Linked DNA regions of Styela clava. Each later gene encodes a partner of the first gene's protein in a complex. Links are inferred from orthologs where the notes say so. Each region holds a gene or a part of one and is shown on either strand. Other genes may lie near its edges. The genes, in order: TBC1 domain family member 23-like, protein FAM91A1-like and syntaxin-16-like.

Evidence for each region.
Region 2: the proteins of TBC1 domain family member 23-like (region 1) and protein FAM91A1-like are in contact, whole or in part, in a crystal structure (PDB 8JJ9), measured with the Homo sapiens proteins. The link is inferred for Styela clava from reciprocal best matches to the Homo sapiens genes TBC1D23 and FAM91A1. Residues at the interface, in NP_001186127.1 of Homo sapiens: Arg533, His534, Val535, Ser536, Ser537, Asp539, Val541, Gly542, Lys543, Pro544, Tyr545, Arg546, Val548, Pro550, Val551, Phe552; in NP_659400.3 of Homo sapiens: Arg49, Glu60, Arg61, Tyr64, Asp84, Ile85, Lys88, Gly89, Leu90, Arg91, Ile92, Thr93, Phe95, Ser96, Ile159, Pro161, Tyr176, Ile177, Thr178, Glu179, Asp181, Ile182, Lys190, Asp194, Ile197, Asp198, Tyr216, Asn217, Lys218, Gly219.
Region 3: the proteins of TBC1 domain family member 23-like (region 1) and syntaxin-16-like are in contact, whole or in part, in a crystal structure (PDB 8QQF), measured with the Homo sapiens proteins. The link is inferred for Styela clava from reciprocal best matches to the Homo sapiens genes TBC1D23 and STX16. Residues at the interface, in NP_001186127.1 of Homo sapiens: Leu638, Asn639, Ser640, Val641, Val642, Lys643, Ile644, Thr645, Ser646, Lys647, Lys648, Ser661, Ser662, Ala663, Ile666, Thr683, Lys687, Ile690, Met691; in NP_001001433.1 of Homo sapiens: Asp209, Asp210, Asn211, Thr212, Leu213, Tyr214, His215, Arg216, Phe218, Thr219, Glu220.

What each region holds. Positions count from the first base shown.
Region 1 is NC_135252.1:15,043,356-15,050,848, reverse strand, and holds the start of TBC1 domain family member 23-like, read left to right. Parts: upstream 1-4,440; 5' UTR 4,441-4,534; coding exon 4,535-4,642; intron 4,643-5,262; coding exon 5,263-5,387; intron 5,388-6,237; coding exon 6,238-7,119; intron 7,120-7,424; coding exon 7,425-7,493. Other genes in the region: transmembrane protein 245-like, read right to left, coding at 254-346, 976-1,090, 1,747-1,911, 2,683-2,852, 3,529-3,666, 3,978-4,059. UniProt on the Homo sapiens protein: Putative Rab GTPase-activating protein which plays a role in vesicular trafficking. Involved in endosome-to-Golgi trafficking.
Region 2 is NC_135264.1:10,396,125-10,403,188, reverse strand, and holds the start of protein FAM91A1-like, read left to right. Parts: upstream 1-4,002; 5' UTR 4,003-4,214; coding exon 4,215-4,286; intron 4,287-4,691; coding exon 4,692-4,869; intron 4,870-6,148; coding exon 6,149-6,262; intron 6,263-6,454; coding exon 6,455-6,642; intron 6,643-7,057; coding exon 7,058-7,064. Other genes in the region: large ribosomal subunit protein eL22-like, read right to left, coding at 1,200-1,248, 1,548-1,643, 1,815-1,936, 2,103-2,222, 3,831-3,839. UniProt on the Homo sapiens protein: As component of the WDR11 complex acts together with TBC1D23 to facilitate the golgin-mediated capture of vesicles generated using AP-1.
Region 3 is NC_135251.1:18,717,781-18,725,189, reverse strand, and holds syntaxin-16-like, read left to right. Parts: upstream 1-4,394; 5' UTR 4,395-4,464; coding exon 4,465-5,400; 3' UTR 5,401-7,403; downstream 7,404-7,409. UniProt on the Homo sapiens protein: SNARE involved in vesicular transport from the late endosomes to the trans-Golgi network.

The DNA.
Region 1 (7,493 bases):
CCAAAATGCCTGTAATATCATAAACTTTAAAGATACCGTTGTCAAATAATTCGTTCCATGCTCAAATATTCAAGCCTTTGTGTATTCAAGCCTTTGTGTTGTGTATTCCAAAATACAATAGCCTATATTTGGATTCTATTTAGTGTTGAGAAATTTCGATTTTTCATTTGCTTAAATGAGTTTCAGAGGAAGTGAGAGTACAGCTGAATATTAATCATTTTAACTTCGATACACAATACTGAACCATTCTCACCTGAGTTTTGTTTACTTGCAGAAATTGCTCCAGTTATCACCAAAACAAGAAGAGCAATTCCTAATGGAACTTGCATTCGTCCAGCTACACTGACTGTAATATGAAGGAAGAAAATATATGAACATTACTGTACTACAATATCAATAATATAATAACCTTATTTCATTTGAGATTACTTAAATGAAGTTATGTCTAACATTACATTATGAGAGTATGTATGCCCATTTCTTATTTACCCATATTAGGATAGGATTTACATATTTATCCCGGGGGAGGGGTAGTCGATAAGACGGCCTGACCATAGGGTGAACCACGGCCTTTCGTCCGGTGACCATTCCATGTTGGGTATGGGATTAGTCGTTGTTTGTTTTCAGAAGCATGGACTTGATGGTGGACCCTACGGCGACGAGGAGCCCCATCGCACATAACCATCCCCGCATGGGGTTCAAACCCACACAGAGTAATCAGATGTGCGGTAGTGAGTGTATTCCTAATGCTTAGCATAATGAGCCACACCAACATTATAAATAAAAGTTTTGCTTTCCACTAGTCTAAAGAACACTTTTGCAATCTCAGCTGTTGTGTGATCTCAGTGATTTTAGTTAAGGATAGGAAATCAATTTTTTGAGAATGTCCTTATGCGATTGGGATCATGTTAAGCGGTAAATGAGATTGTATACGAAAGAGGCACCAACTTTTTAAATCAAATAATATTATCTTACCCAAACAGATCAGAAAAGAGATCCAGGCAGGAACAGCAGCATAGCGAAGCCATCTCACAGATGCTGGATCAAGTGTTAGTGCTGAGACTGTATAACCTCCAACTACAGTTATGAGCTATAATATTAAATTTGTAAATTATTATTATTACCGGTAAGTTTGTAATGAATATATTTGTAATAACATTCACATCTATTCCCAAAAAATATAGATTAGATAAGTAACCTGAATATTTTAATCTGCATTTGATGAGAGATATCAGCTTCCTACATTAATATATCATGACAAATAATTTTATTAAATTTCATATATAACATCAAAGTAAGTTTTGAAATATTATCTACACCAGCTGACTTTGCCATCTTATTAGGCCAAAATTCGAGTCATTTCCAATTCATCAAAATATTGAATTGCTGAAAAAATTCTGAATTATTCCTATATTATCTTATAACCAGGGTCATATCGAATCCAGATTAATTATATTCGATACTTAAAAATTTTAGATTTTGGAAATAGTTAAGATAGATTTATTTGAGGAATCTTCATTCTGAATAATTGAAGCCTTATAGTATAACTGAACCAAATTCAATTTCTATTAATGAACAATGATTTCTGAAATATTCTTGGTTGAACAAAAAGACAATTTTAAATGTTTTGGCAATCTCTGCTTATATCTTATATTCATTTTAATGATGAAAAACATATGAAATGTGTTAATTTAACAACTTATTTTGTTCATACGGACAGACAATGTAAAAATAAGAGTTACTCACAATGAGTCTATACTCAGCAACAAATTCCACAAAATCTGAAGTTGTGTCCCACACAAGTACAATAGCATGCCATATACCAAGTAAGGCAAGTTGAAATATATAAAGCAATTGAATCAAATGAAGAATATATAGAACTGATAAAATTGTTGCAAGGGCCACCAGCATCTGAAAATAAATTGCATAGATGTAAATTATTTCCATTAATCGTAATCAATTTTACAATGTGAATATATCATTAGAATGGGATGAGGCCAGTCATTCTTGAAGTAAATGTTTATTTGACCATCAAGTATGGCATAATATTAAAATCCCAACATAATATATAAGTACATATTTGAAATTTATGTTCGGCAATTAGGAAATTGTGTTTAATAAACAAATCTATTAATAGATTGCACGCTGCCCGCATGACTTAAATCATGGATTGGCTACAAGTCGAGCATAAGGTTCAATTTCATTAAAATGGGTTGATCTCATTTACTTGTTCAAATTGCACAATGATATGCTAAAAGGCTTGAAATTGAGTTAATTAAAACTCACGCAAGTCAAGGAAATATGACTAGACTTGCCATGGACTTCATAAACTCAAGTCGGTTATAACTAAATAGCGCTTAATTTCGGCATGGCATGACTCAAGATAAGCTTTGAATCCATCTTTGTCACTATTATTAAGCTCTGCTTTTATTTGATTTTTGATTGAACTGTTTGTTTAATTTGTATTGTAGTAAAAACTTTTGGCAAATTGGCAAATTTTGTAGTGAAAACTTTTGGCAAATTTGGCAAATTTTGATTTTTGATATGATAAAACCATTTGAAACATTCTAGATAAAAATAGAGAACTTCTGTATTATCACATTAATCAGAAATAAACGAGCATGACTAGCAAAATATTGATAATCTTTTTCAAACTATTGAGAGATTTATAATTAAAGGTACCTTCCATCGATTGACAATAAATTTTCCCAGATTCTCTGCAAAATTATCAAATATACTGATGGGAATGAGAAGAGCTCCTATGAGTAATGGTCTTCCACTTTCCTCGTGAGCTTTCAACCAAGACTCCAATGCAGAATTCAACGAGTATTTGAATGGGAATAAGAAGAAACCTGAAATAATGGAAAGATAGTTTTTCATTGCGTATACTACACTTGTATATTTTTGATGTGCTGGAAAAACTGGAAATATATTACAATATATTAATAATGGATAGGCAATAATGGATAGGATTTATATAATTCCGGGGGAAAAGGAGAGCTAATAAGACGGCTTAACAATATGGCAAACAATGGCCTCTCGTCCGGTTACCAGTCCATGTCAGGTATGAGATTAGTCCCAGATACGTGGACGATGGACTTGATGGGGAAAGCCACACTTCAGCTCAAAAGCTTATGTTACAAAACCATCCATCAGCTGATGCACTATTTTCAATATAAAATTTTACCGAAAGTTGATTAGGTACAAACTTAAGCTGAATTAATATCATTGAAATTGAAATAAACATTCAGAAGTGGGTTGATTTCATTCTATACATCTAAGACTAACATATCTAAGCAAGAAGCACTTTTCCAATCATAAAGAAAATGTGGCCGTTTTAGTAAAAGCAACTTCTTTATGGTATGTCGCATCTGTTTCAATGCTCCAGGCAAGAGGGATACAAGCTTAATATGCGCATTGCCATGTATGAATGACCAAACCTTTGTTATGAAGAGGAATTGGGAACATTTTTTAATACATGTATATAAAATTTTATGTGTTAAAAAATTGCCACCTACATGAACTTACCACATAGTACAGCCCATATCAATGGCGTGATAAAAATTTCAAGGACAAAATAAACATAAACTGCAGCAGCACAACCGGCAACTGTAAACAATATGGCAGCTGCCGTGTAAAAAGCTTGTCGGAGTGGCTTTTCATGCCCTGAAAACAACATACAGATATTAAATTGGCAAGACAAGAAATTAATAGGAAAAATCAGAACAACAATTGTCTCTGAACAAATTCTTTGAAATACAATGTTTCCTGAAAAATTCAATATCTACTTATTCAATTTATTATTTCATTAGGCACACACTTCGAGGCTTCAGTACTTTACACAATAAGAGTATTACAAAATGTGACTAAAATTTAACAGGCATAGAAAATTTAAACTAGCATTTTTATGTTTTTGTCCACTTCCAGCAAATCTTATCTATGATTCACTCACATCATATCATTTCAAAAAAATATACCTGGAGGTACTAGTTGGGTCATGCTGTCAAACAGGACAGATCCTTGTCGTTGTAATCTCCTTGACGAACCTAACGACGCCATTCATGCAACAAAAACAATGCGACACATCATCGAGTTTCAACACTTGTCTACAAACGCAGCGAACCCCAGGAAATCCCCTGAGTGAGCTTTTGGGCAACCCACAATTATTTCAACTCTGAATGAATCTTGATCCCAAGTAATACGGTATAGGTTTCCTAATGTACAAGGACTTTAAACATGCACATGAACAGATATTTTGTTTACAAACACTGGAAGTTTATGATAATATGCAATACCACACCCGAACGTAAACTGGGACTTCCCCGTCAATTGCTAACAGCTGTTCTGTAAATAAATTTGAAAAATATTTTGTGGCTCAATGTCACCATCTCGCGGATATGAAAAACTTGATCATTCTTTGAGTGACGCGGCAGGATACCGATTACGGAATATCGAACCATTTGCTGTCTGCTCACCTTTAGAACTGCGGGCGAAATTTTGGGTTACGGAATTTTCTTTGTGATGATGCTTCGATATGGCTGATGACTTGGACGATATTGATGCGATTTTATCTGACGAAAATTTTGATTTTGTAGGACAAAGTTCACAAGAGAACATTGTATCTGATAGTGCATGTAGTGAGGTAACAATTTTATTAATATATATATAACTTCTGAACGTAGTAATACTGTACTAATATGACTTTTGAATCTCTAAACGGTCCTCTGTCTGACTGTTGAAATTTGCTTTGTGGATATTAGTAGTTTGGTCAGAGTTTTGAGTCCAGGTATAGCGGTTCAATGTGGCATGGCATGCACATGCAGACATGTGTGCGTGTTCTGGTGTTGAAGGACATGGAAATCAAACTGCACAAACATGTGATTAAATAGTGAAATCTAAAATTATAAAAAAGCGTCCCTACAAAGAAACTATGACATAGAATTCTGAGATTGGATTTTAGAAATTGTTTTTCTTTCTGGTCATGTTGCCGTGAATGCTTTACTATTCTGTATAATTATTATTCTATTGAATAAACATATCATCATATTTAGCGACATCAAATAAGAATGCAATATCGTTTTTTATGGATGTATGGTACAAATTCATTCCTTTTTAATCAAAAACATTTTTTGTGCTTCACATAAACACAAGACTAGATTAGACAACCTTGTTATGCTGAAGAAATTTAAATGTTTGTTTATTTGTGATCAAATTGTAAAATATCCATTTTCAAATAATTTTTATTGTTATGTTCCATTTCAGGACTTTGTTGATGATTTTGATGATGCGTGGCATGCCGAACTTGAAGATGCTTTATTAGAGGGATTCGTTGATCATACCATAATACGAAATATATGCAAGTGCAGAATTTTGCCACCAATTCATAGGTAGTTTTTTTGTTCTTTTATCCTTTTTTTTCAGATTTATTGCAATGTTCTGTTTTGAGAAAGTGGACATTGAGTAGATTATTTTTCAAATAAGACATGAATGTGTTAGTTGCTGGGAGGTTGCGTACTTGATTATTAATTGAAGCTATTTTGATATACTACAGATTTCAAATCTGTGCTTATAAATAGTTTAAAATGTCTGACAATTTTTTTTGTTATTTTCGTATCAGTTCTTCCTTTATAGTCATAATATCCTTGATTTTCAGCTTAATCTGAATCAGATGTTTCTTAAACGTTAGTAACAAAGCTTTGCTTATTTGAAAACTAATAATTCTTATATCAAACATTAACATGAGTAATTTTTAGTAAATTTATGATACTAATTATGGTTAGGAAAAGTTTTTTGCCCTATGTAGTATGTTTTATCACCAACTTTTTAAATAATTTAGTTACAAAACCTATTCATTTTTTTGAAATAAAGTTTTTAAGTTTAAGTAAGTAAGTTTTTAGGCATTATATATCATATAGACCAGTGGTCCTCAAACTCTCATGATCCATGTCTCACATCCAAAAAGTTTCAACGATCCATCAGTTCTTCGATGAAAACCCCAGTTCCGTTTTCAATGAGACACCATCAGTTACTTTATTTTTTATGTTTAAAAATAAAAAGTCAACAGAGGAAAGTTAAATAATAAATGCTTTATGGTCAAAGATTTAAATAAATCATTAAATTTTTTTGCACTTAAAATGAATATAGACATCGCACATGGTACCATGGCCCAGTTGGAGAAATCCTGACATAGAAAATGAGTAAGTTGTACTCCAATTTAAAATGTATATTACTTTATAGGGCGGAGGTATGGAAAATCTGTCTCAACATTGCAAGTCGTGGCAATGCGTTGAATTGCTGGGATGGGAAGCTTGATCTAACGGAACAAAATCAGATACATGAAGCATGCGAAAAAATTGTTGATCAATCGAAAACGGAGGATACCGAACAAGCACTTGCAAATTTAGAATTGATAATCACATTTTACTGCAAAAGTCGTGCCATTAAATACGACACTGAATATGCATGGACCTTTTTGTTACAACCAATGTTGGAATTACCGGAATTGGATCGTGCTGACTTGTACAACTGCTTTTATGCAATGCTAGCCCGTTACATACCCCGTGAATCACTTCCTGATGCCCCATATAATCTGTTTCGACTTATTCTTCTTTATCATGATCCGGAGCTCTGTTCGTTCCTCGATTCTCGCAAATTAACAATGCAGATGTTTATGAAACCCTGGCTTCGAACTCTATTCGCGAGCCATTGTAAACGTCCTGTCACTCTCGCCTTATGGGATATTTATCTTCAAAGAGCAGATCCATTCTTCATGTTTTTTCTGGCACTTGTCATTTTAGTGAATGCCAAAGAACAAGTAATGAACACTATGTTGGATAAGCAGAAGAATGAAATTGCCGACGCACTGACAGAGTTTCCTGTTGCTCTTGAAACTGTGGATGTGGAAGACTTCTGTCAGTTAGCTATGTATTTTAGTGACAAAACTCCACAATCTGTGCGCAAGGGTTATCAAGATGCTTTGTTCAGTGGACCCATGTCTTTGTCAGGATCGAAAGAAAGTACAAGAGTGGAAAGAGAATTAGCACAGTCATTGTGTATTCAAGTTGCAGTACCAGATATTTTATTATCTGCACAGCCTGACTTTTCAAGCGACGAACGGAGGTTTGTATTTTAATTTTAAAGTATTACCATTTTTATTTGATCACAGATGTATAAACAATATAGTGCAAAAATTTGGAGCCTTGGAAATATTTTTTCCATATATAGAAATTTGGAATCCCTGTACTCATTTGTCATAAGTTTGCCAAAAATTTGCACATTAAATTTAATGGAGTAGGGTATTGAACAATTCTCAGACTACAATTCAGAAGTTCAAAAATCTCAATGTGCTTTTATGACTATATCCATCCAATACAAGTTATCGAACAATTAATCATTATTGCATAATGTGAAATTTAACTTTACAGTGAGTCAAATCAAGTCAGATTTTTTCTTGTTGATTGTCGATCTCCTGATCTTTACAATGCTGGTCATCT
Region 2 (7,064 bases), on another chromosome or scaffold:
ATAATGATTTTCCTTACTTTGAAAAACTCTTGCTTATTAGAGAAGTCTTCAATCCACTGAAAATGTACAATAATAATTAGTGCTGGTGCTTATACCCAGTTTAAAGTTCAGCCAAGGATGGACCACAGTTGTTCTTCCCTTGTCATATTCTTGAGTCAATTGTTACCAATACCATTCATTCACTTTTAAAATTCCTGATTTTTTTACAGCATGATTTTTTTTTGTTCCATGTTATATAATATTAATTCTTCAGTTTTGTGCTTCAATGATTAAAGGAACGTGCTACCAAGTGTTTATCTTCGGTAGCATGGATATAAAAATTTCAAATGCTAATTTTAATAATTTTTCTAATAAAGCAAAATTATTTGAATAAGTTTGTAAACTTATTATAAGGTAATATTAGTTACTTCAGGGTTGTTACTAATATATGAACCTCTGATCAGGGCCAGATCACGTCTTCAAGAGGCCCCGAAAATAATAATGAGACTAGTGTGTTCCATGTTATTCGAAATTGAATTAAGTTTCAGTATTCATTACCGATCAGATCAGATTAACTTTCAGGATATTTTAGTTCTTACGTCGACAGACATTCATAGAGATTTACATGACAAGGAAAAATTTCAACTGGGCTCTGTTCATTAAACTCTTGAGGTACGAAGAGTTTCTGTGGTGCCTGAACTCATGCTTAATCAGCTCTGCCTCTGAGCTTAAGTATGATATATTCTAGAGTTCAGATTACACATCAAATGCCAATAGCTGAAGAGTCCTTGTTGTATGAAATGTAGTTTGGGGATCATATGAAGAGTTGATTTGAATCAATATTCTAGGTTAAGATACGATTCACATGCCCACAACGCAGATATTATTCCTGACGGGTGTCTGCAGCAATGGCATTTCCACAGCCATTTAATATAGAAGTTTGTGGCCACCCAGGTCTCGCTTTAACCCTCCTCAGTCATACAGGATAGCATTAAACAATCCCAACAAATTAACCAGTAACCTTCAATAATGCAACCGTGGGCATAGAACAAGTTTTCAGAGTGGCAAAAGACTTTCGCACTATATCTGAAACCAAAAAACTAAACTTGCTTCTCTTCTGCTTGAAATCTACCCCATTCCATAACACAAATACATAAAGAACAAGCAATGACCTATAAATGACTTTATTAATAAAGTCAAATTGGAGAAGAAAATAATATTTAATCTTCTTCTTCCTCCTCTTCTTCGTCTTGGTTGATCTGGAAATATCTGAAAAGAAGATTTCACCAATAAGAAAACTAAAAAAAAATGTAAAGTGGGAGATGCAATTACAAAACAACAGGACTCGGAATGAGAGTCCTTTTCTAAACAGCCTGCAGTTCTTTGTAAGAGAATGACTGATCTGGGTTTAAAAGGAGGACTTATATTTCCACCCAGGATTAGATCTGCAGATGTGTCGTAGAAGTACCGTATATTCTCGCGTATAAGCCGAGTTTAAAACTCAAAAAAGTTGCCAAACTAAGAGGTCGGCAATTTTGTTTTCTACATTTCATAATAATAACACATACCTCAGTTCATAAGAGTCTTTCGTAGCAGCAATGACTCTCAACCAATCACGAAGGTTATTTTTCTTCAAGTATTTCTTAGTGAGGTACTTCAAATATCTAAAAAAAATTCAACTTTTATAACTAGTTTTAATTTATGGATGTACAAATATTTCAAAAAAAGGTGCAAATTTAATTTCTGTATTCAAAAGTAATATTCAATTTTGGCCCTCTATATATAGGCCTATATATGTTGAGTGATAAAAATGAACATAGCAAATACAAATATACCTTTTTGAGAAAGGGATGTCGCTCGTGATATTGATCTTCGTCTTATTAAGTTCAATCACTACTTGATTTCCAAGATTATTAGTTTTGCCGTTAACTTTTACTCTTTCTTTCAAAAAGTTTTCCTGTGACATAAAGCATAAGTAAAGGTCTAGGGAAGGCGACCCTAGCCCTTACGTTGAGTACAGACACAAAACTAATTAAGATGTTAATTAAGGAAAAATACGAAAAACATAAAACAGTGCATTGGGTTTTTAGCCTACATTAACTTTGATTAATTAAGTAACTTACAAAGTTGCCGACATCCATGATTCCATCTTCGACGGGGTGCGTGCAATCAAGAGTGAATTTTAATTGAGTCTTCTTTTTCTTGCTCTTGCCTTTAACAGCTGCACCTTGTCTCTTTTGTGCCTGAATGAAAAGAATCAATGTGTCATTCTGTAGGCTGGTTTCAATTGAATTCAAGCCAGATATGTAAGGCACAGAAAAAGCAAATTTATAGTCAAGTTTGGTCAAAAAAATACAAAGTCAATAAAGATGCAGAACAGTGAAACATAAAAAAAGTCACTCAGGCTCCCGTATTACCAGAGACAGTGGTGTAGCATCCACCCCCGCGGTCGCACCCACAGCGCAAAGAGGCCCAAACTGTTAGAATTTAGAAATTTAAGCTGCAAACCAAAAGCTGCAGTGCAAAACAAGTAATGCACATCTTATAACATTGATGTTAGTTCTGCTCAAATCGTTTTGTTACGTAGCAATGCCAGGAAGTCGTCAATTTTTCGGCGTCTTGTCGTCTGATCGCACCGGCAAAATTACGAAGGCTGTCAGAATGTCGAAAGCAAAACCTCTCAGTGGCGCACAGAAACCCAGAAAAAGGGCAGAAGAGGAACGTATGAAAAAAATAAGTAACCAAAATAAACGGCAAATTTTAGGTTACCATTGTCTTTTTATAGCGACATGTTACGCTTTTTGGCAAAATAAAAAAAAGTGTTGTTTTAGCTTATGTCCGAGAGTTTCCAGGGTCATTTTCACGAAATATTTTTGCGGGGGGGGCCCACGAGAGTCTTGCTACGCCACTGACCAGAGACACTGTAAATACCCATGTATTCCTACAATTTCCTAATTATTTCATCAAGTAATATAACAACATAAATTCAAATACTCTTTTTCAGCGTTTCTAATTGGGAGTTTGAGAATCGGTTGCTGATTTGAAATGTACAAAATACAGTACAAAAAATGAAACAACCCATGTGTTAAAGTGTGCTTTAATTCCGATTTGCAACTTAAATGTGTTTTTACGCTGAATCATAGCAATGGTGATTTGTTGGCTGAAACTAATTGTCAGTCAGTCAGTTGATTGGCTATATTGGTTCAACCCAAAAGATGTCGATTTCGTTTATTACTGTATTAAGTTGTCAGAGCGTGATAATTATAATGAACCGACTAATAATGCTGTAATGTGAGAACTTTCTCAATTCAGTGAATTATTCAATTCTAGAGTGTATTTTACCACACCATACTTTACATACAGCCATATGTTGATTTTTATAAGCATCAATGAGTGGAAATATGTCATAAACAATCACACCCAATTTAACATTAAAAAACACCTTCAACGACTTAAAGCTACATTTCCTTTCAATTCGTGGGATACCATGACTTTATTACATAGAAATGACAAGTCAACAAATTTCAGAAAAATCAATTATTTCAGTATTTATTGATTTAAGCAATAAAATTTAAAGTCAAGTACCATCAGACTGCAGTAGGCAGTTATCAGATAAATACTCCCATTGCTGCATTATGGCAGTTTTGTCTACGCAGATGTGAAATAACACAGCAAAGCTAAAAATCATCCCTATCACAGTATCATGAATTTCTAGTCTACTTCTCGCCAAATAACTGCGCATAGAGATAATTCATAACTATTTTACTTGAAAATTTACACGTAAAAATTGATTCAAAGATCCAATACATTGAATTACAAATTCGTTTTATTCACATAAAAATTACACGAACCGCCGCCATCGTGGTCTTCTAGTCGAAAAGGAAGATCACGTGACGTGATGTCCAATGTTGCAATTCTGGAATTCACAAGGTGGCGCTGAAGAATTATTATTTGCAAAATATGGCTCCTTTACCTCAAATTCTGATTGTTTAAAATAAAAGATAAAATTGCCTGCACATTAACTGATTAGAGATGAAACGTTTTAACATAAGCTACTAAACATAAAACGTTCTATTGGCAGTGAATACCTAACCTATCTGCATACTATTGATAATGCTGAGGAAAGTCACAACCGTAGCAACCCTACGTTCTGACGTTTGTTAGTGTTTCTTCCGAGTTTTTGTTTACATTTTAAGTTTGTTATAAATGAAGGTTTATGTTACTGAAGTTTCGAAATGAATAAGGATGTTGAAAAGCATATTAAGGATGGATATGTTTGGTCAAAACTGCCTGAAAGGGTTAAAATGGTGAGTGTATTTTGCTGTCTAGTTGCTGAATTGCTCTATGCACCTATACTTTTTTAATTTTAGTATATTGAACTTGTTGGGATATGCTGATATGTATAACTCATTAAGACCAATATCATAAAACAATAGGTAACAATATGAAAATATTAGGTTAACCTTTTTGGTCTAAAATTGTTGAATTATCTAATTGAATCCAAAATTTTTTGAAGAAAACACAATGAGAAAATCAGCTTTTTTCGCTACTTAGCTATAATTCACAATTATTAAAAAAATGATTTACCCTCATTTGTGAATAAAAGCATAGCAATACCTAAATACAGTCCTATTTTAGCAAACTTCATACCATAATTTAGAAATTGTTATGCCATAAAGTTGCTTCAATCATACCACATGATTTTGTTTTAGGCATGTGGAAATTCAGAAGAAGAATACAATCGATCGTTATTAAATTATGCAATTCGAAACCAAGTTCGATATCGTGGTTCAACTGTTCGTCATGTGATTAAAAATGAGAAAGCTTATTATGAACGACTTCTCGATTATAGCAAGAAAAATTTAATGTTGTATCCTTATCACTTACAAGGTAGTTTTTACTATTTTGTGATTTATAATTTATGTGTTGTTGAATTAACATGTGAGAAATGAAATAATTTGGTTTGACATTGCATGCTATTGCACCTCTGATAACCCTGCATGGGTTCGCTGGTTTGAATCATGTGGGAAAAAATGTGTTCTAGTGCAGCGATTTCCTCAGAATACTGCTGTTCTGCGAGCTTTTTCAAAGCATTCCACGGAACGGGAATCGAAATGACTCATGAATTTTACATTCTAATTTCGTGGTGTTTCGCAAGGCGAGATAAAAAGTACAGGTGTTCTGTGGCAAAAAGGTTGAGATATAGTATCCTTCATCATCAAGTCCATGGATGTGTAACAAATAATTGGCTAACTATTCTGATATCCAATTTGTTCTAGTAGTTGGACAAGAGGTCATAGTTTGTCATGTAATCAAGCCACCTTATCTGGTTTCCTCTCTTCCGGAGAAAATATGAAATTTGTATTTAAGTATGTATATTGACATAGCTGGTGACATTTCAATTTATTCTGTTAATGAACTGAAATTATTGACCAAGTCTATATTTATTGTGATTTGATTTAAAATCATTCCTAAGTTGATCTCTTTTCTTTATCACAATTATGGACCTTTCCCCGACCTTTGACCCTCGGAAAATTCTCCCTATACTTTACCATTGCAAAATTGTCAAGGCTATTTTAAGACTGCTTTTGCGAGTTGGCGTCTGTAAAATGGGGTATGTGTTTCAAACCATCATTATGATTCATCGCATACAACAATCTGTTTTTTAAAAGTACCGGTAAAGAATTTCAGGCTAGTCTATCACAGCTATTTCTACACTGATTTTTATTACTGCAATTAAATTAAAACTCCTAGAAAGACAAAGTGATCATTGAATTATCTGATTTTTATTTAAGTTCCCAAAACACAACTAAAAACTAACGAATAGAGTTCAAAAAGTGAAAACGAGGTAATGTTTACAATCACGCTTGAAAATCTGTCTGAGTGAGAAAAGTGTCTGAGCGGATGCGAAAAGGGGGCATTGTTACGTCACTTTTTGCATCTTGCTTTGCTTAGAATTGGCCAATGTCACGAAGTAATCAAGGAAGTCGATGCTCGGGGAAAGGTCCATTCCACCTTGTTTTCAATATCTTCATTTTTCATAGTTTATAGACAATGCATGATTTTTCCTAAAATTTTCAGATGTAAATATTTGGTCGGTTGGATAGTGTACTTTAAGTTTCAAATCCAAATAACTTTAATTAATTTGCTGTGTAATCACCGTTTTCAGAAAGAATGATTGGACTTCGAATGACTGCGTTTTCCTATTATATATCAATGATGGAAGAAATAATGAAAGAAGAAAGAAGTTATGATTCTCTTCCGAATTTTACAGCTGCAGATTGTGAGATCAATTTCACTATTATCCATTATTTTTTTAATTGAATTTTTTCGTGAGAATTTCTTAACGTGGGATATCAATTCGGTTTTTGTTTTTTACATCATGTCTATTTTTATATATATCTAGTTTGTTGCTTACCTATAGCCTTGTTTGAAGAAACTTTTTATTTTTATATTTTTCATATATTTCATTTAGGCCTTCGGCTACTTGGCATTGGTAGAAACCAATATATTGACCTTATGAACAATTCTCGTTCGAATAAAAAGTTCTCGTTTCGAAGGAAGCCGCAATACCGAGAATTTTTACCAAAAACTCCAGTCTTGACTAACATAGAGCCATGGTGGTTGGTGAATGTGGGTTTCATCACTGAAGACGATATCAAGGTTTTTGATTTGTAATCGCTTTGTATGTGGTGTATTAGTATTATTAGTTTGAGTGGTGTGAACCCATTATCTATGATGATCCTGAATCCTGATTTACAAATGCATTCCTTTTGATAGTAACACAACTTAGGTTTCTTTGGATGGGTTTTCCATTTTTTCCGCCAGACAGACCTTGCTTTCGCAGTGGGTTGATAACTAACAACAACGCCTAACATATTTTCTAGAGAATATTAAATGTATTAGTACTAGGCGTAAACAAAGATGTGATACCTATAATCTGTCTATTTAACAAAATATGATCAACCTGCCCTTTCAACAAGCCATATGTAATATTTCATGTTAGATAAAACCTCACAAAATCTTTTTCAATCATGCAACAAATTTCTTTTTATTAAACCAAACTTCTCCTTTTCAGTTTTGTA
Region 3 (7,409 bases), on another chromosome or scaffold:
GGTCACCGAGGCTCCTGACCAATGCTGTGTATAAGAAATCTGTCAGATAAAGCAATAAAACTAAACAAAACGTTTTTCAAGTGAGGTCGTACAAAGCTCTCAAAGTGCTCCGTACGAAGCCCCAGGGCTCCGTGAGAGAAACCTAATGCTCCGCGGGCTACTGTCCAAAGACGCAATAACGGCATTAATAAAATGTGACAACAGTAGCGTCGAAATATCGCAAAGCGGTAATTCAAATATGACATTATCTACAAGCAGGAGCGAGCCAGGATTTTAAAAGAGAGGTGGTGGGTGTTCAAAATTGGAATCGGAAATTCTCGCGCAACATTCTTCGCGATTAGGCCACTCGTTAAAAAAGACTTTTTCAGCAGATAACGAGTTTTCTGTTGCGTAAAATATTCAATCTATAGCCGACGCGAGCACGATAATTTAATTGTGTTCATCGCTACTCGTTTTTACGTCTATATTACGATTACTAATAAAATGAAAGATTACTATTCTAAAATAACATAAAAAACGTTCTCAACTGCCAAGTACCAATTATAAATAGATGGAAATCGTATTTTTACGATCTTGGGATTCGTCAAATTGGATTTGATCTTTCAGCACTGAAGATTATTTTTAAGCAAGATAAAATCTCAAGGTCGGCGTTAAAACCTCCATGAGTACAACTCACAATTGCGCAATCCCTGACCGATGGGGGCATGTTTAAAATGCCGTGTTTTTTGGCTTAATTGTGTTCAATGTAACCTGCGATTGCGTCGACTTACGACAACATAAAATCATCACTGCTCAGAATCACCGCGGCATCCGCGGACATGGAATGAGAATCAAAGTTGCCGCATAACCTGGATGACGCTGTTGTCGTAAGATATTAGAAGTAATGTAAAGCATAATCATGACTGATTGTATGGCAGATTACAGCAATTTAGCGAACTCGACAAATTTGAGTCGTTCCTATAACGCTGACTCCCTATCGCATGTCTGTCACTCAGATTCTTTCAAAGATATATATCACCGTTTGAAAAATCACAAAATACGGATGATTAAAATTTATTTTATTGCAATAAAAAATTGATTGAAATACTTTACATTAATTATCTTATATATCGTCACATATCGAGAAAAAGTCGCATGCGGCTAAGTCGGTGCCCAATTAACTATGTTTCGATTTCTGTTAATACCGTATAATTTCCAAAGAAAACCTAAAATAACACCAAATTTTGTTATTAACATTGTCTTAAAAAGCTTTTTCAATAGACCTTTCCCCGAGCATCGACTTCCTTGTTTACTTCGTGACATTGGCCAATCTGGAAGATGCAAAAAGTGACGTAACAATGCTCCCTTTTCGCATCCGCTCAGACACATTTCTCACTCTGACAGATTTTCAAGCGTGGTCGTAAACATTACCTCGTTTTCGCGTTCTTGAACTCTATTCGTTAGTTTTCAGTTGTGTTTCGGAAGCTCAAATATAAATCAGGTAATTCAATCTGTCTTCTTAGGGGTTTTACTTTAATTGCAGTAATAAAAAATTAGGGTTCCATTACATTTGAACCCACGTACATTTGAACCCATGACAATTGCACCTGTATGCTATTGCACCAATGAAATTTTTTTTGTTTCACGAATAGTTAAACCCATACTACCCTAACCCATGGGTTTTAGCACCGGCATATAGGTTGAACCCGTGGATATACGCATGGGTTCAAATGTACGTGGGTTCAAATGTACGGTCACCAAAAATTAGTGTAGAAATGGTTCCATTGCATTTGAACCCACGTACATTTGAACCCATGACAATTGCACCTGTATGCTATTGCACCTATGAAATTTTTTTTGTTTTTCGGATAGTTGAACCCATACTAACCCTAACCCATGGGTTTTAGCACCCACATATAGATTAAACCCGTGGATATACACATGGGTTCAAATGTACGTGGGTTCAAATGTATGGTCGGTCACCTGTAGAAATAGCTATGATAGACTAGGCTAAAAAAATTTACCGGTACTTTTAAAAAAACAGATTGTTGTATGCGATGAATCATAATGATAATTTGAAACACATACCTCATTTTACAGTCGCCAACTCGCAAAAGCACTCTTAAGTTAGCCCCGAAAATTCTGCAATGGTAAAGTATAGGAAGAATTTTTCCGGTGTCAAAGGTCGGAAAAATGTCCATTTGTCACGAGTCCGCTAAAACAAAACTTATGGTGTTATCTGTTTTAAGTTTTAGTTTTAATATTTTATAATGCCGCTTTTCATTCAAGAAATTTGGGTTGCGTATACACCCCTTTATTAATTATTCTTAGCATATCGTCGCCGATGATATATAATATACTAACTTGTTTTTCACACTGAACCAACGACTAGATACCGCACTGAACTCATAATTCCACACCAGAACAAAAAGCAATTATCGTCTTCCTCGTGGAACAATTTATGCATATGCCGATGAAAATTTGTGATTGAAGGAGAATAAACACCGACGTGCAAATGTTTACGGACTAAAAAACATATCAAACCGACGAAAATAATCGGCGATTTTATCAAGATGCAATCGCGCACGTTATTAGCGATTTTTCAGTCTTCAAAAATATCAGAAGGGAGGTTCGACCCCGAATTTATTAATATGTTTGTTCAGTGTCAAATTTACAGCCTTAATATATATAATTTATCTGTGAAATTTAGATTTATTCATGGCTGGTATTAACCCTATTAAAAGGTTAGTCATTGAAATTGAGTAAAATAATTTTAACCAACTAAGGAATATTAATTGCCTAATTGGTAAGTAACAATTTTAAAATTTATTGTGGGGCTCCGTGAATAATAGTCATCCTCTTCAGGGGCTCCGTAACACCAAAAGTTTGAGAACCCCTGGTCTAACAATGTATGTAATATGAAAAATCACGCGGCATGCAACTACAGAGAGCTTTTGCTCATTAAACGATCCACTTTGCATAAAATGAGTCCGCGCATTTGTAAACAACTGGTCAACGTTGACTGGTAACCGGGCGAGAGACCGTGGTACGCCTTATGATTAAGCCAGAGCCATTACATAATGTCCCTGATTAAGCCGTCTCGCGGGATATCCTTCTCCGCCAGGATAAAATAATGATCCCTATTCAAAAGATAAACACTAAACACACTAAAATTTAGCTGGTGGGTGAGTGGGCGTGTGTCGCTCCTAAACTTAACACTGTAATAACCTATTTTGTATATAAATTACTCGGTATGTTAGTCGTTGATATTACTATAACATTATGTGCTCTGTATATGGACGTTTTGCTCGCTCACCCAAACTAGCCAATTTCTATGTGTGCCTATTCATTGCGCGATGTGGGAGATGTAGCTGCTTTCAGACTCCTGCCACTGCCTGGGTAATCGTCGCCGTTCATCTACGCTTGTGACCTGTTAAGTGCAAGCAGCTGACTTGACGATATTTTCTATTTGACTTGTGAAGGTATTTCGGAATTTGTTTTATTATGATTTTTAAGTTAGGTTGTTGTGGTACCGGTATTGGTAACAAGAGTATGCAGTACGGTTGTACGACAGGCCAGAAGCAGTCTGATGGGGACGATTTTAAGTTGGCTTTTAATAAATGATTTCTGTTGTTTATTTTCAATGCTGAGTATTTTTATTTACACAACGTAAAATGTTCATATGCTTATTTCAATTTCTCGACACTAAATACAGAAGTATGAATGTTAATATCAATCAATCTTATTTTGGTCACTCTGAAAGAAACAAAACTACAACAAACGGACAAACAAAATGCAGAGGACCTGGAGGACGGGTATAACTTAATAAAAAAGTTAAAAGCGTACAAGTAGTCTACGTGCCCGTCCACCAAAAACAGTCAAAAGAACACAATAAAATAAAGACACATGCAAAATCGGGCAATACGGTACCTTTTGAATCAATTTTAAAATGTGAGACACTGATCAAAAGAAGATCATGGAAACACTTTATACAAACTAGAATTAAAAAATTAACAAAAAAAATTGTGGCTGCGGTTCTTATGTGGTGATTACAGAAGATATTGATTGTTCAGTGAAATTTTATCACATAACAAATGTAAATCACGAGAAAATGAACTATGTACAGATGTATGTGAGAAAGTGGCATGCATAGACTTGAGGGCTTGCTGATTGCATTCTTGTATGGCTGTTTTTGATGAAAATGATATATGAAATGATAACCTCCAGTCAAACGCTATGCTGTAAAGTGTAACTAAATAAAATACGATTAAAAGGACGTTTCTAGAATTGATAGGATGGAATGCATGACTGTGGTATGTGTATCATAACAGTGCTTTTCTTACAAAAATATGAAATAAAAAACACCATCAGCTAACTTAAGAGCGAATAGGTGAAAGCATCAAACAGTCTGAACGATTTTTACTCTTAATTTATCATATTTTTATATTAATTACCGTAATATAGCCTAGTAGTCTACATATCATAATGTTGACGAGATCTCTCACTGACGCATTTATACTCATGCGCAATAATGCGCTACAAAATCGTCATATGTTTTGGCAACGACAAGATGTTGAGTACGATGCAGATGAAAATGACGAAGTCTCTTTGATATCTAATCGAAAAGGACAAAATTCAATGCAGTTGAAAAGTCTTCCACCAAGATGGTTATCGACAGTCGAAGAAATCAAAGAAGGAATCAGCCAAATCAAATTAAAAATGGAAGAATTATCAGCTCACCATCACAAACATCTTAATCGTCCAACGTTAGATGATGATGTTGAAGAAGAACAAACTATTGAAATCTTGACTCAAGAAATAACACATTTATTTTACAGCTGCAATCAGAGCGTTAAAATTCTGTCTAACCTTTCAAAAAAAGCTTCCAAGCATGAGAAATTGATGTCAAAAAATGTTGTTTCGGCTATGGCTTCTTCATTACAAAATGTATCAAATGATTTTCGACACAGTCAATCTTCTTATTTGAAAAAGTTGAAAGCAAGAGAAGATAGGTCGAGACATTTTTTTGACTCTGATAATGCGATTATGGTCGAACACAGTGAAATGGATATCGATGATGAAACATTTGAACGAGGGTTTTCTACAACGCAATCTGCTCTTGTTGAAACGAATAGTCGTATCATTGAAGAACGTGAAGAAGAAATTCAAAAGGTCGTTCAAAGTATCTCAGATTTGGCGGAAATATTTAGAGATTTGAGTAACATTGTAGTGGAGCAAGGAACTGTTCTTGACAGAATTGATTATAATGTTGAAAACTCTGTTATGAAAACGGACGAAGGAGTAAAACAATTACAAAAAGCGGAGAAATACCAAAAGAAAAACAAAAAACTTTATGTTATCTTTGTACTATCAATTATAACGGCAATAATGCTAATTATCTTAATTATAAAAAAGGGTTGATTTTTTATTCATATCTATTTTAAATATGTGATGTATTCTACTATTTAGTTAACTAGTTGTGTGATGTAAGCAAATGTGCAATGACTTTGATAGATGTGTGTGTGTGTGAGTTATTCTAACTCTGCACTTGATGTATCATAAGGTAGTACTTATCATACCATATTAAATGCTGGTATTATTCATCCATGGTGTTGGTCTTTTATCACTCATTTTCATCAAATTTCATTTGCCCACTGATCCTAAAATCTGAATACTATTTTGTAATTATAAAATGATTTAACTCGGCTTCACTTCACCCTGGTTGAAATAAATCGGGTAAGCATTACTGAAGTGTAAATCAGCCTCTGCTTATGTGGAGCCTTGTTTGGAGCGGAATTCTTAAAAATCACATAAAAATGTGATGTCCTTTTCATTTTTTCAAATGACTCTACAGATTCAGATTGTAGCGTGTCTCCCATATTGTTTGTATTTGCACATGCTTATTTGGTCTGTATCACTACTGGCTGATAGCATGTCAGCTGCTGTGCTTTTAAAACATAGTAAAAAGTGAATTTCAGGGCCAGGAAATTCTTCAAATCGTGCATTGCTCTGAACCTAAATAATCATGAACAAGTGGTAACATAATATCAAGAATAAACATGAAACTGCCACCATGGGTTATGTACTGATGTTATGATTTTCTGTACGGAAATAGAGCTGTTTATAATGATTATACAGACTTTCTATGGTTTTATATTCACTTATGCAGATCCACCTAGAGACAAGGGTCTATCGCGTTTGTATGTACTAAAATCATTCCAGTTTGGCATATTCTATACATTTTATTCGGTGGATATGGATCATTGGATCAGAAAGCAGAAACCTAAAATGGCAAGAAATCTTATTTACCATGATAATACGCGGAATTTCATCAACCGATCAAACGTCTGGCTAAATAACACTGTATGACCTGACTATAGTTTTTTGTTTTATATTAACATTGTTAATGCACTGCTAGTTTTTTTTATGTGCCAGGAATTCCAGTAAAATTTACAACTTAGTTCTAAATATTATTGTACATTTATTTTTTAAATAACTATATTTCTTGCTAATTTTACCCACTTTATCAGTTGTGTTATATTAATTTAAAGTTGTAGAGCCGTGATGTCTTGAGGAGGTCTATTTAACTTCATTATGACTTCACCTCAACCTAACCCTAGAATAGAAAATTTGAAAACAGCAGAATTTGTACTTTTACTTCAGGTTGAGAAAATTCTGGTCAGTCCTGCTTCAATGATTCCCACTGGGAACAGAGTCAGAATTGCACTGAAGTTTTGATTTATTTGTGTCATTAGTATAATGCTTATTAGTTCACTCATCTTTGGTGGGCAAAATGGGCTTTAGTTTAAAATTATTTTTGCTTCAAGGTTACTAATTTATTGTTTAACTCTGACCTGCTAGTCAATAGGTATAATTTACATTGCTTTAGTTCTACTTCATGTTTGTGTCGTGTCTTATTTTTATACTTGAAAAATTAAATTTTTAATGGTTCCTAAGTAATTCAAGAGCTTTGCTGGTCGCTGCACACTAACATACAGTAAATATATTTTTTGTAACGTTTTGTCGGACCAAGGTCAGACATAATTCAACTACAACAAAATGAGAAATTGCATACTCGTCCAAACAATGAGTGTTATGCCATGTGTTATATATTTGAAGCCATTGAATATGGGTATTGGTAAATACCAAAAGAGATGAATAGAACATGAAAATTACAAGGTGGAATAGTACTATAGTAGCTTGGATTCTGAAAACTGACTGAAGTCCCAAGTCCCATTTGTATGCATAGAAAATGTATAAGATCTGTCGAAAAATGAGTCTTGATATTTGTCTTTTTTTCTTTTTGCCAACTTGAAAAATTGGGTATGAGGATATTTTCCATCGTGTAATTCTTATTTTCTGTCCTTCGTTTTCCCATATTTTGGGCACAAAGTTATTTTATATGTGTATTTTCATCATTTAGACTCATT